Linked DNA regions of Xenopus tropicalis. The protein of the gene in region 1 interacts with the protein of each later gene in a pairwise test. Links are inferred from orthologs where the notes say so. Each region holds a gene or a part of one and is shown in the gene's direction. Other genes may lie near its edges.

Region 1 (4,118 bases):
GCTGTCCCGGATAGTTCCATGAATGTCCCGCATTGCGGGACATTCATGGAATTATCCGGAACAGCGGGATACGCTTGCTGTAGCTGGATGTTCTTGCTTCTTCTGCAGCTTCGTTATGCGGCTCCTTGTGCAGAGGGACAGGCCCTTTTATAAGGTTGCGCCTGTGGGTGTGACGTCATTACGCACGGGGCCAACCTTATAAAAGGGCCTGTCCCTCTGCACAAGGAGAGCCATAACGAAGCTGCAGATGAAGGCTGCGCCTATGGGAGGTACTGTGAATGGGGGGCTACTGTGATAGGGGGACACTGTGTATTGGGGGACACTGTGTATTGGGGGGTACTGTGTATTAGGGGCTACTGTGTATAGGGGGCACTGTGTATGGGAGCTACTGTGTATAGGGGGACACTGTGTATTAGGGGCTACTGTGTATGGGAGCTACTTTGTATTGGGGGCTACTGTGTATGGGGGGGGCTACTGTGTATGGTGGGGCAAAACTGGTACTTAGTTATAACTCACTTATAACTGACTGCCTTCTCTCTATACTTGTATTTTAATGTAGGAGTTGCTATATTGTTTTCCTTAGGTCGTTCAGTATGAGGGTATAGCACATTTTCATCTGCGCCCGCCATTTGATCTATATAAAAGGGGTATTTTTTTTAAATGGGGTGTGGCAATTGGGGCGTGGCCAATAAAAAATTTTTTGTCCCTCTTTTCATTTTTCAAATGTTGGGAGGTATGATAAACAATAACCATGACTTTCCATGAATGTAAGTCATTTACTAAAATATCCAAACTGAAAAAGCATGAATGATAAAAAGTTGCTACAAAAAGCAAAAAAGGCCAAAAAAAAACTCTAAAACCATGAAGCAAAGAAAGCTTGAAAATTTGTCATTGAACTCCACAATCCCAAGTTTGTAGCTGATGTGTAAGATTGTTACTGTAACATACTGTTCAATAAACCTGAAATAGAAAAATGACTTCACTTGCACAAAACCTCCATTTTTGTTAAAATACGGAGAGAGGGTTCGAATAGCGGAAGCGACTGTGGACAACCTGGAAATAGATATTTTTTTTTTTTTTAATATCCTGGAATTGGTCGGAACTCTGAAGAGAAAATATAAATGGCTTCTACGGAAACATGGAGCTGAGGGGCTGGCGGGCAAGATAAGAAACCTACACGGAAAACAAATATTTTATTATTTTCTTTTTGTTCTCTAACTAAAGCGGGAGGCGGGGGCTGAGGCAAAACGGATTGTGAGGTGAGTAACCGCGGCTTACTACCGATTGTGTAAGTCTCAGTTACGCTGGATGGCCACACCCACAAGGCGGCTACGTCGTGCGTCACGGCGCTTTCCGAGCAGCCAGATCTCGCGAGATGAGACGTGCGGCCTCGGGATTTCCTGGCAGCCAGGAGGCTGGGAGCCTGCACTTAACAGTTTTGCAGGAGATGCAGGTAGCGTTCCGGGAGTGCGGGCTGTGCTAGGGAGAGTGGGGCTGGCGGGCAGTGTAGGGGGAACAACATGCCGGGGACTCTAGCAACTACTGTCCCTGCAGGTTACTGGCAATAGGGGGTCCGGTAATGTAAATAGGTCCAGCACAGCCGAGCCCCCCTACAACCTCAAACCCTCCCCCCCTGATGGCGACTCGGTGTGGGGCAGTCACTGCCCTGCTGGGCCAGTTATATAGCCAGTTATATAGCCCTTACTGACTGGCCTCCATCTCCCTAGGAAGCAGCACAGCAGCTCTACCCTCTCTGTAATGGCTCTGTCCCACTGCTGCAATACACACGGATATCAGTCCCTCAGGTGAGCTGCTTCTTACTGTGCAACACAGAATCTTATTGGTTATAAAACGCACAATTTAGGGAGTCATGTGATGCCAATGACGTCACTCAGCTGTATGGGTGATGACATCACTCTGTGCCCAAATACACACACACATATATATATATAGCTTTATAGATAGATATCTGAACTCCTCCCTGCACCCAGCAGGAGATTCATTGCTATATATATATCATTTATATGTGATTTTATTTTTTTTATTTGCATGATCTCTGCGTGTTCATGAATTAGAGTGCAGTGCTGTTTTCCCTATGTTTTATTCCTGACTGGAAAATATTTGGCCAAACTGGGCAGAGCTGTTGGAGGGACCCATACACTGGCCAGTAAGCCGACGGCCGAATCCCCGGGATTTATCGGCCGGTGTATGGGCCCCCCATGGCAGTTTGTTTTGGCCCATCATGGGATCGTTCCTGATTGCAGAGAGATATATAGAATCTGCACTTGCAGGTCTTTTATGAAACAGGACATATTTGCTTCCCAAGTTGTCACATAATGGTTTCACCCTTTGTGGAGAGGAAGGCGCCATTATGTCACTGAATTGTTGGAACACAAAATAAACCACCTGTCCCTGTTTTATAGAAGGGCTGTGAGTGCAGCGTTTGGTTTATTTACTTTATCCTGCTTTGTTTCTAACTGGTACCCGGGCGTTGTTTCCAGCTGGTACCCGGGCCTTGTTTCCAACTGGTACCCGGGCGTTGTTTCCAGCTGGTACCCGGGCCTTGTTTCCAACTGGTACCCGGGCCTTGTTTCCAACTGGTACCCGGGCCTTGTTTCCAACTGGTACCCGGGCGTTGTTTCCAACTGGTACCCGGGCGTTGTTTCCAACTGGTACCCGGGCGTTGTTTCCAGCTGGTACCCGGGCCTTGTTTCCAGCTGGTACCCGGGCCTTGTTTCCAGCTGGTACCCGGGCGTTGTTTCCAACTGGTACCCGGGCGTTGTTTCCAGCTGGTACCCGGGCGTTGTTTCCAGCTGGTACCCGGACGTTGTTTCCAGCTGGTACCCGGGCCTTGTTTCTAGCTGGTACCCGGACGTTGTTTCTAACTGGTACCCGGGCCTTGTTTCCAACTGGTACCCGGGCGTTGTTTCCAACTGGTACCCGGGCGTTGTTTCCAGCTGGTACCCGGACGTTGTTTCCAGCTGGTACCCGGGCCTTGTTTCCAACTGGTACCCGGGCGTTGTTTCCAACTGGTACCCGGGCGTTGTTTCCAACTGGTACCCGGGCCTTGTTTCCAACTGGTACCCGGGCCTTGTTTCCAACTGGTACCCGGGCCTTGTTTCCAACTGGTACCCGGGCCTTGTTTCCAACTGGTACCCGGGCCTTGTTTCCAACTGGTACCCGGGCCTTGTTTCTTGAAATTACAAAGCGCTGTCTTCCCTGTTTAGATGTACTGTATAGACACTGTATATGGCGATCAGGACAAATGAAAATCTTCATGGACACGAGTCCCATTTATAACAAATTATATATATATATTTGCAAACTTCAGGGCCTCATTTTGTCTATGTAGTGATTTCCCCAGCATGCTAAAACCTTAGGCTAATGTCACATTTGGTTCTATGATATCAGTGGCATCCGTCTGTCACTGTGAATGTGGGTCAGATTTCAACTCAAAACTACTTGTGTGTATATCAGAAGGGGTTATAAAAACAATCAACGCACCAGAGGCCCCCCCTATAGATTAGAGGAACGGAGCTTCCATTTCAAGCAGCGTCAGGGGTTCCTCACGGTGAGGGCAGTGAGGTTGGGGAATGCCCTTCCTAGTGATGGGGTAATGGCAGATTCTGTTAATGCCTATAAGAGGGGCCTGGATAAGTTCTTGAACAATCATAGTATCCAAGGCTATTGTGATACTAATATCTACAGTTAGTATTGATGTCCAAGTGGGATGTTAGCCTTAAAGGGGTTGGTCACCTTAAAATTAAGTTTTAGTATGACAGGCATTGATTTGCAGTTGGTTTTCATTTTTTGTGGATTTTCAGTTATTTAGTTCCGCAGCTCTTCAGTTTGGCATTTCAGTAGCTATCAAGTTTTTAGGGTTTTGTTTACCTTAGCAACCAGGCAGTGGTCTGAATTAAAGACTGGAATATGAACAGCAGAGGGACGGAATAGAAAGATAAGAAATAAAAAGTAACACTAATAAAATGGTAACCTCACAGAGCAATAGTTGCTTGGCTGCTGGGGTCAGTGACCCCCCCACTGGAAAGATGTAGAAGAGAAATAATTAAAAAATATATATAAAGAATAAGTACTAACATACTAAAAGTTAACTTAAA
Region 2 (4,286 bases), on another chromosome or scaffold:
GTATATTCAGAGGTGCAGAAGATTTCTGAGCTAATTTTGAACTGAGTTGTTGAAACATACCATTGCCTTAAGGTCAGGGCCGCTCTTGCCATAAGGCAAAGTAAGAACCTTGCCTCAGGTGGCAGTGAGCGGGCAGTAATCTGGGATGGCAAAAAAAGCCCATTGGGACTCAATACTAGCCTACAGTGAAGTCAGAATTTTATGAGGCACTAACACAGGAGTGAAGGTTTGCCAAACAAAGGGAGCTGAGTCTGAGGTTTCAGAAGGAGCCAGCGCTACACATTAGAACTGCTTTCAGCTAACCTATTGTTTCTCCTACTCCCATGTAATTGGAGGAGTCCCAAGCTGGACTTGGATTTCTCACTATTTAGTGCTATTCTGATATATAGTGGGAGCTGCTATCTTGATGCTTCACATTGTTCTGCTAATTGGCTGCTGGGAGGGGGGTGATATCACTCCAACTTGCAGTAGTGGCTGCATTTCCCTCGGCTTATACTCGAGTCAATAAGTTTTTCCAGTATATATAGTATATATAGATGGAAGGATCTACTGGTAAATAAAGCATTCGAGAGATTATAGTGCCCTTATATATTCATACATAGTTCTCATATTCCCCCTTAAGGACTTCTATTTGCACCTTGGCCAGTCTTTCCACATAACGGAGTCTTTACATACCCTATATGTGCTTAATTGCCCTTCTCTGGAATTTCGCTATTTAATAGGGATGCAATATGGTGCTCAAATAGCTCCTTGTGCCAATATGTATAGGCTTGCTTCATAAAGAACATATCTAGTAAATGGCCTCTCTGCCTAACTTTGTGAAGGTGTGTGCTTTAGATGAAGCTCAGGACCCATGCTGACTATTGTGTGGCTAATCAGAGGGAAACAAACCTAACATCTGTGTGCAGTGCCAAGTGCCAGCTAGTGGCATATAGCTCCCAGATCTGCTGAAGTAAGAGATGGCGTTTCACCAGCTGGCAGTCTGATGGGGAAAGTCCAAATATGGCAGATACCAGGAGGAGACAACCAGCTTAAATCATATATGCCAACGGTAGGGCTGACTTTTGTTTCAGCACAATAATGCTGCTATGCACAAAGGGCCATACTGAATGAGTTTGTTTAGATGGGAGTGGGACTGGCCGGCACTGAGCAATATTAATCCCACCAGTAAGGGTTACAATAACCTGGAGAACCCACTACTCCACTATGCACCCACTCCAGAACAGTGTCAGTTGATTTTTGCCTGATCCTTCCCTAAGCAATTAGAGCCTTGCTTTCCAATGCCTTTGTGGTTAAAGAAGCCCTGTTATTCTGCAGTACAGTTGGCAGTGCTATGCTGATTTCTTGCATTTTCCACAGGTAAATTTGAGCCACCCCTTTTTCACCCGAATGTCTATCCTTCAGGCACAGTGTGTCTGTCTATCTTAGAAGAAGATAAGGATTGGAGGCCAGCAATCACAATTAAACAGGTATCATAAAGTGCAGATTCCTGTCCTTCTGTATAATACTGAACAGTTTGTGTTCTGCAATTAACTTTCTCTTTTTTTTTTCTATATAAAGATCTTGTTAGGAATACAAGAACTTCTAAATGAACCAAATATACAAGATCCAGCTCAAGCAGAGGCATACACAATTTACTGGTTAGTGTTTATGTATGGGGCATTTTTCTGGCTGGGATAGGGGCTGTGTATATGTCCCCTCTTCTGTAGTAATGTTACCCTTTACAGGCAAACAAATCACTGTACTTGATGCTAGCTTTAATACTGTCTATTTGACATTTAAAGGGCTGCTATAATTTTTTTGCATTCACATTGTATTTCACTACTCTAATATTGAGAACTGAGTTTTTTTTTCCAGTAGCTTTGTTCACCCAGGCTTATCAAGCTTGCCATTTTAGTCCTACCTAAGCTGACACCAGGTCTGGGCAAGGATTCAAAATAGGCCCTGGCATTTGAAGGACATGTCAACCCCAAAAATGTTTTGCCTAATAAAGGAAAACTTAATTCTAAGTAACTTTGAAATATACATTCATTACATATTTGTAATGGTTTTTGAGTTATTTGTATATATAGCTGCTATTAGAAGTAGTGTTGGTCAGTGCTTTTCTATTCCCTGGTGGCTCTGGTGTTTAAAACAATGTAACAAACGGCAGCAGATTTTACAGACCTGTCTTGCTGGAGGAGCCTGGCACTCGCAACATTGTTTAAAAAGTAACAACCGGGAGTTCAGCAAATGCTGCTTTCTGTAGCAATTACATTTACAAAAAAACCATTTAAAGCACTGATATTTTTTAATACATTGTTATTGGAAAGTTGCTTAGAATTATGTTTTTTCTTTTATTATGAAAAAAAAATATCTTTAGGGTTGACATTTCCTTTAAAGTACACAGAGGCCCAGGTATAGCCCCCCCCCCCCCCCCCCATAGGTCCAATGGAACTCAGAAGGGACTTATGATATCCTCATATTTTACAATGGGTATTTTATTTATTACCTCACATACTTGTGTGTGTGTGTGTGTGTGTGTGTGTGTGTGTGTGTGTGTGTATGTATAATATACTGTATATTCAGGGGGACATGAGGTTTGGGACATGACCTGTCAGGAAGCCAAAGATGGACTCCACCTCACAGAGGACATTTTCTGATACCCTGTATAGACAGGCTTCCATGGATGGCAACTCACAGAATGTGCAGGCAAAGTTGGGCAAGTCATTAAATTGACTGAACAAAGGGATTTAGTTTAAGGGTAGGGCATATGGGTGACCAGGTAGAGTATAGCCTGGGAAATTTGTCTTGATTCTTTTTTTTTTTTTTTATCTCCCTCCCACAGCCAAAACAGAGTTGAATATGAAAAAAGAGTCAGAGCACAAGCCAAGAAGTTCGCGCCATCATAAACTTCAACCTTGCAGCATCTTAAAATAAAAGGAAGGGATTGGTTTGGCAAGAACTTGTTTACAAAAAAACAATTTTTTTTGCAAAAATTGAATGATGCTAAATAGAATTGAAACTCTCACTTAGGGGAGGGGGTCGTATGTGTGCCATTTTCCATTTCCGCCACTTGTATAGAGTTCTAAATTTGCTGAATATCCCCCCCAGTTTTTTCATACAGGGTCTCTTCCTTCAGTCTTTTTGTATTTTGATTGTTATGATGTAAAACTTGCTTTTATTTTAATATTGATGTCAGTATTTCAACTGCTGTAAAATGATAAAACTTTTATACTTCTATAAATTCACTAGTAATCTCTAGTTTTCCTTTGCTATCTGATGCAGGCATGCTTTCAAATGTTTAGAACTATATCTAGCCTCTAGCTGGCTGTATTAAGAACAATGTCATAAATTCCACCCCCTCCCCTACCCCAAATTTCTTTTTACGTCTTTAAGAAACTAGGTTGCACCTCAACCTAGAGCCTCAGAGATTCAATGTCAGTCAGCATCTTGCTTCTGCATCACTTCCTTTGTTTATATGGCGTTTTGTCTGTGTTGCTGTTTAGATTAAATAAACTGTTTATATAAAGTTTTTGTTTCTTTATCTTTTTCATTAAGAGGACCACAAAGCAGAAGTGTTCAGGCTTGTAAACTGACATTGTGACATTTTTATTTTTTGTGTGAAATCTGTACATATATATATATATAAAAGAACTTTTTATAACTGTTCTATTCTTGCTGCGCCGTGAAAAGGATGAGCAAAACGATTGTAGCCCTGGCATCTTGATGTAGTTGGCTAACGTACTGTTGTCTTGTAATCTGAAATGCAGATTTAAATAAAACAGTTAGCAGTAAACCAAAAAACCTGGTAAGTATAATGATCTTTGTTTATAGATCCTGCTTTCGTATGAGCAATGTACTACACGAAATAATAATGCAAATAAAACAAGTCCATTGGAAGTGACATTTGTTAATAAACACTTGGTCTTCCTTATTTATTTACAGTGTTGTTGTTTTGCCAGAACTTCCATTCGAACGGGGGCCAAAGCAGTGTGGAATCCTGGGAAAGGGTAATTGTTCTATCAGGACTAAGGGTCTCCAGCAAGATCTTCCATTAAAAGTGCCACTTCATAGATGCATGCTCTCGTATTAATCCCTACAATTCACATGTAAAGGGGAACACATATAAAAACACACATTTTGATAATCTGCACCTTTCTTATGTTCCTGAACAGCTATTTACTGTCCCATGAAGCATTAGCTCCACTTCAGTTACCCCTCTAATTGGAAAAACTGACCCCACCACAAGCCAAGATTAGGCCTGTTTTCACACTCTAGAATGTTGCCTAATAGCAACCCAGAGG
Region 3 (3,500 bases), about 120 Mb from region 1:
GTTTAATCTGCATTAAAAATGGGAAAAGAACACTTTAATAGCATTATATTCAAATGAATGATGCTGATAATGTATATCATGATGGCATTAACGGAAGAAACTAGCACAAATAAACTTGGGAGTTCATCTACTTTTAGTGCTTGCAGGTGGTTGACATTGGTATCCTCAGTCAATTTGCAGTCTGTTGTCTCTATTCTTTTTAATAATTATTTTATTTTCTTCTGCTCTTTCCAAATGTGAACATGAAAATGCTTTTTTGGTGGACCTCGACAACTAGAAATCAGTTGAATTCATCTAAGGCTAGATTTTTATTGCAATTCTTTTAATTCAGCACTTCCCCTGTTCACCTGCCAGGTTGCTATGGTCTGTGGGACCCTAACAGGGGGAGAGCTTCAGACCAAAAAGATGAGTAATTCAATAAACACATAGAATTGAAAATAAAAAAATCCACAAAAACAATAAATGAAAACAAATTCTGAGAATACTACTCCCTACTAACATACTAAAAATGATTTTAAATGTTCCCCCCATTTATATACACACCTACAGTATAATGAGCCAAATAAATACAGCTTATATTATTTTTAATGCTAGTGTCATCAGGAGTATTTATTAGCCACAACTTTTTCCAGAACTACAACAGTGAGAAATCACAGGAATTGGGCTAAATTATTTGAGGGTCATAATACAGAGAATTCAATCATCTGACTAAACTATCTAACTCAGCTCCCACAAGCAATGGAGGCATGACCAAGTGTAAACTGAAACAGTTATCTGCATTCTAATACAGCAAATAATTATAACTTCCATTACAGCAAGAGCAAAGTTTCTGCACTTTTCAAACAAATATGTTCCTTTCAAAAAACAGAAATTCTTGTTTGGGGTCATATTATTGCTTTTGTATCTTAACCCTTAACTATTCATTTTCCAGTCTGTAATTCAAACCACTGGCTGATACCAATAATAAGATAAGGTGGCCATACATGGGCAAATTTAAGCTGCTAATTCAGGTAATTCAGACCGGTTCGGCATCTTATCTTCCCAAGTATGGGCACCCCCAACAGGCCTACCCGACCAATATCTGGCCTATAATTGGGAAGATATTGATCAGGCAGGTTTGATTTTCCTCTGGAATCGGGGGCTGCATCGACTCATTGATGCGGTCCTCACACCAATGGGTTCTGTTCCCATCAGATATCGCCCACCTTAGGTGATCAGAAATAATCTGAAAACCAAAAAAAAAAAGTCCAGTTGCAAATCTTACTAAAAGTCCATGTACAGATGAATATGTCTTTAAAGTTCTAAATCTAAAATTAGGGATGCACCGAATACATAATTTTGGGATTCAGCTGAACCCTAAATCTTTGGTGAAAGATTCGGCCAAATACTGAACCGAATCCGAATTTGCATATGTAAATTAGCAAAGGAAGGGTTAAAGAGACCATGAACAGCACTTAGTGAAAAACTTTCAGCTATTGTGTTAAAAAAAAGTCACGTGATATTTAGGATTTGGTTCGGCCAGGAGCATGGCTGAACCCTGCTGGAAAAGGCCAAATCTTGCCCAAATCCTGAACCAAATCCTGTAGTGTAACAGGTGGATATTCCGAATGTATTTTGCTAAAATCCACACTTAGTGCCTGTTTGTGAGAGGTAATGTAATATCAGAAGCAAAGTTTTCTACACTTCTTATCACCTATAGCAACCAATCAACAGGTAGCATTTTCGGATAATTTGTTTAAAAAGTTAGCATCTTATTCGTTGTATGGGTTACTGCTTCTCGGCAAACTTTGTGCCTTTTAGTACGTATGGGGGGTAAGTCTTTTCAGCTTCTAGACTGCCGTAAGGCTGGAAGAGCAGTGGTATGAATCAAAGCTATGTATTCTAGCTTTATATGTACCTAAATGCCTGAAATTGTATGTACATTCTGTATCTCAAAAACAAATCATTCCCTTTATTTTTGTAGGCGATTGAACTCAATAAAAAAGGAAAGGATAGCAAGCATCCGATGTATAGACGTTTAGTTCATACCACCATTGATGTTTCTACTATTAATGAGGTAAATGTTGTGTACACTGGTGCTTTACATTTTGTTTTGTGGAATAAAACTAACATTATAGCAGAATAAGGCTTAAGCAGTTACTGTGGAGGTATAGGCACTTTTGGCTGCTACTACAACAGTCTTCTACAGATTATTTCCTTTTTATTGTGCTCCTATTAACAAAAAGGTAAGGACAGTTGCAGTATAAGAACCGTGGTACATAGAGAGATTGCCAGATTTTGCACTGTAGATAAAATGCCTGCAGTCTCCCTCCCTTAACCTTTCTTCCTCGAAATTCCTGTTTTGTGCAGAAAGTGACTGAAGGAAAATACAAGAGTTACGACGAGTTCAAGGCGGATGCACAGCTACTTCTACACAACACAATTATTTTTTATGGAGGTAATTATATAATGTTGTCTTGGCATTTTAAGTAAAACATGGGGTATGTCCAAGAAGTGCAAAATTCTACAGGTTTCTGCATACAATTATCATTTCATTCATTTGTAACTATTGGGCAGATTTATAAAATGTGAGTTTAGAGCTTAATAAATGAAAACCTACCCATGTTCTATTCATTCTATTTGATCCCATAGAATGACCTCTTATTGGGGGCAGAACAATCCTATTGGGTTTATTTCATGTTTAAATGATTCCCTTTTTCTCTGTAATAATAAAACAGTACCTGTACTTGATCCCAACTAAGATATAATTACCCCTTATTGGGGACAGAACAGCCCTATTGGGTTTATTTAATGGTTAAATGATTCCCTTTTCTCTGGATGACAGGTTCCATACCCGTATATGTTGGATACTAGAATGAAATGAAGGCAGGCAGAGACATTCAAGGTCTTAACAGAAAGAAGACAAACACATATGTGTATAGAATAGAAAAGCATAGTACTGCCCTCAACTGGAATACTTGTGCAAACTCAAAATTTATTGAAAAAAATTCAATAAATTTTGATCTTTCACAAGTATTGCCATTGAGTGTGGTACTATGTTTTTCTATTTAACATATTTACCAGCACCTGGGGAAGTTGCTACATCAGTTTTGGGAGTGCTCCTCTATGGTTCTTCTTATATATATATATATATATATATATATATATTATTTTTTTTTGATTGGATAGAATAATACTTAGAATATACTTAAACAGGTATCACATATAAATTGGTCCAATAAGGAGCAGCAATAGCTAAACATTGCCATGTTAGGGGCTCATTGAACATGCAGTATATTAGCCCCAAAGACAATATTGCAGGTGGCCCAAAAGCACTGTGGCTGATCGACTACTGCATACTGGATTGACTCTAACTGATTATGGTGCCACTTAATCCTTAAAGCAGATTTACTATAACCAGTTATAACATCACAGCCAGTGTAATCAGTAAATTAAAACTAAGTTCTCATCCAAATGTCACAACTTTCAGTAAGGGCTGTATTTTCTATATACATTTTTTC

The links.
Region 2: the proteins of zhx1 (region 1) and ube2i interact in a two-hybrid assay, tested with the Homo sapiens proteins (2 studies listed by BioGRID and IntAct). The link is inferred for Xenopus tropicalis from reciprocal best matches to the Homo sapiens genes ZHX1 and UBE2I.
Region 3: the proteins of zhx1 (region 1) and zmynd11 interact in a two-hybrid assay, tested with the Homo sapiens proteins (2 studies listed by BioGRID and IntAct). The link is inferred for Xenopus tropicalis from reciprocal best matches to the Homo sapiens genes ZHX1 and ZMYND11.

Annotation. Positions count from the first base shown.
Region 1 is NC_030682.2:139,794,573-139,798,690, reverse strand, and holds the start of zhx1 (zinc fingers and homeoboxes protein 1), read left to right. Parts: upstream 1-1,318; 5' UTR 1,319-1,453; exon of another isoform or gene 1,454-1,805; intron 1,806-4,118. UniProt on the Homo sapiens protein: Acts as a transcriptional repressor. Increases DNMT3B-mediated repressive transcriptional activity when DNMT3B is tethered to DNA. May link molecule between DNMT3B and other co-repressor proteins.
Region 2 is NC_030685.2:28,773,312-28,777,597, reverse strand, and holds the end of ube2i (SUMO-conjugating enzyme UBC9), read left to right. Parts: intron 1-1,359; coding exon 1,360-1,469; intron 1,470-1,560; coding exon 1,561-1,640; intron 1,641-2,827; coding exon 2,828-2,891; 3' UTR 2,892-3,786; downstream 3,787-4,286. UniProt on the Homo sapiens protein: Accepts the ubiquitin-like proteins SUMO1, SUMO2, SUMO3, SUMO4 and SUMO1P1/SUMO5 from the UBLE1A-UBLE1B E1 complex and catalyzes their covalent attachment to other proteins with the help of an E3 ligase such as RANBP2, CBX4 and ZNF451.
Region 3 is NC_030682.2:18,849,523-18,853,022, forward strand, and holds part of zmynd11 (zinc finger MYND domain-containing protein 11), read left to right. Parts: intron 1-1,963; coding exon 1,964-2,056; intron 2,057-2,349; coding exon 2,350-2,437; intron 2,438-3,500. UniProt on the Homo sapiens protein: Chromatin reader that specifically recognizes and binds histone H3.3 trimethylated at 'Lys-36' (H3.3K36me3) and regulates RNA polymerase II elongation. Does not bind other histone H3 subtypes (H3.1 or H3.2).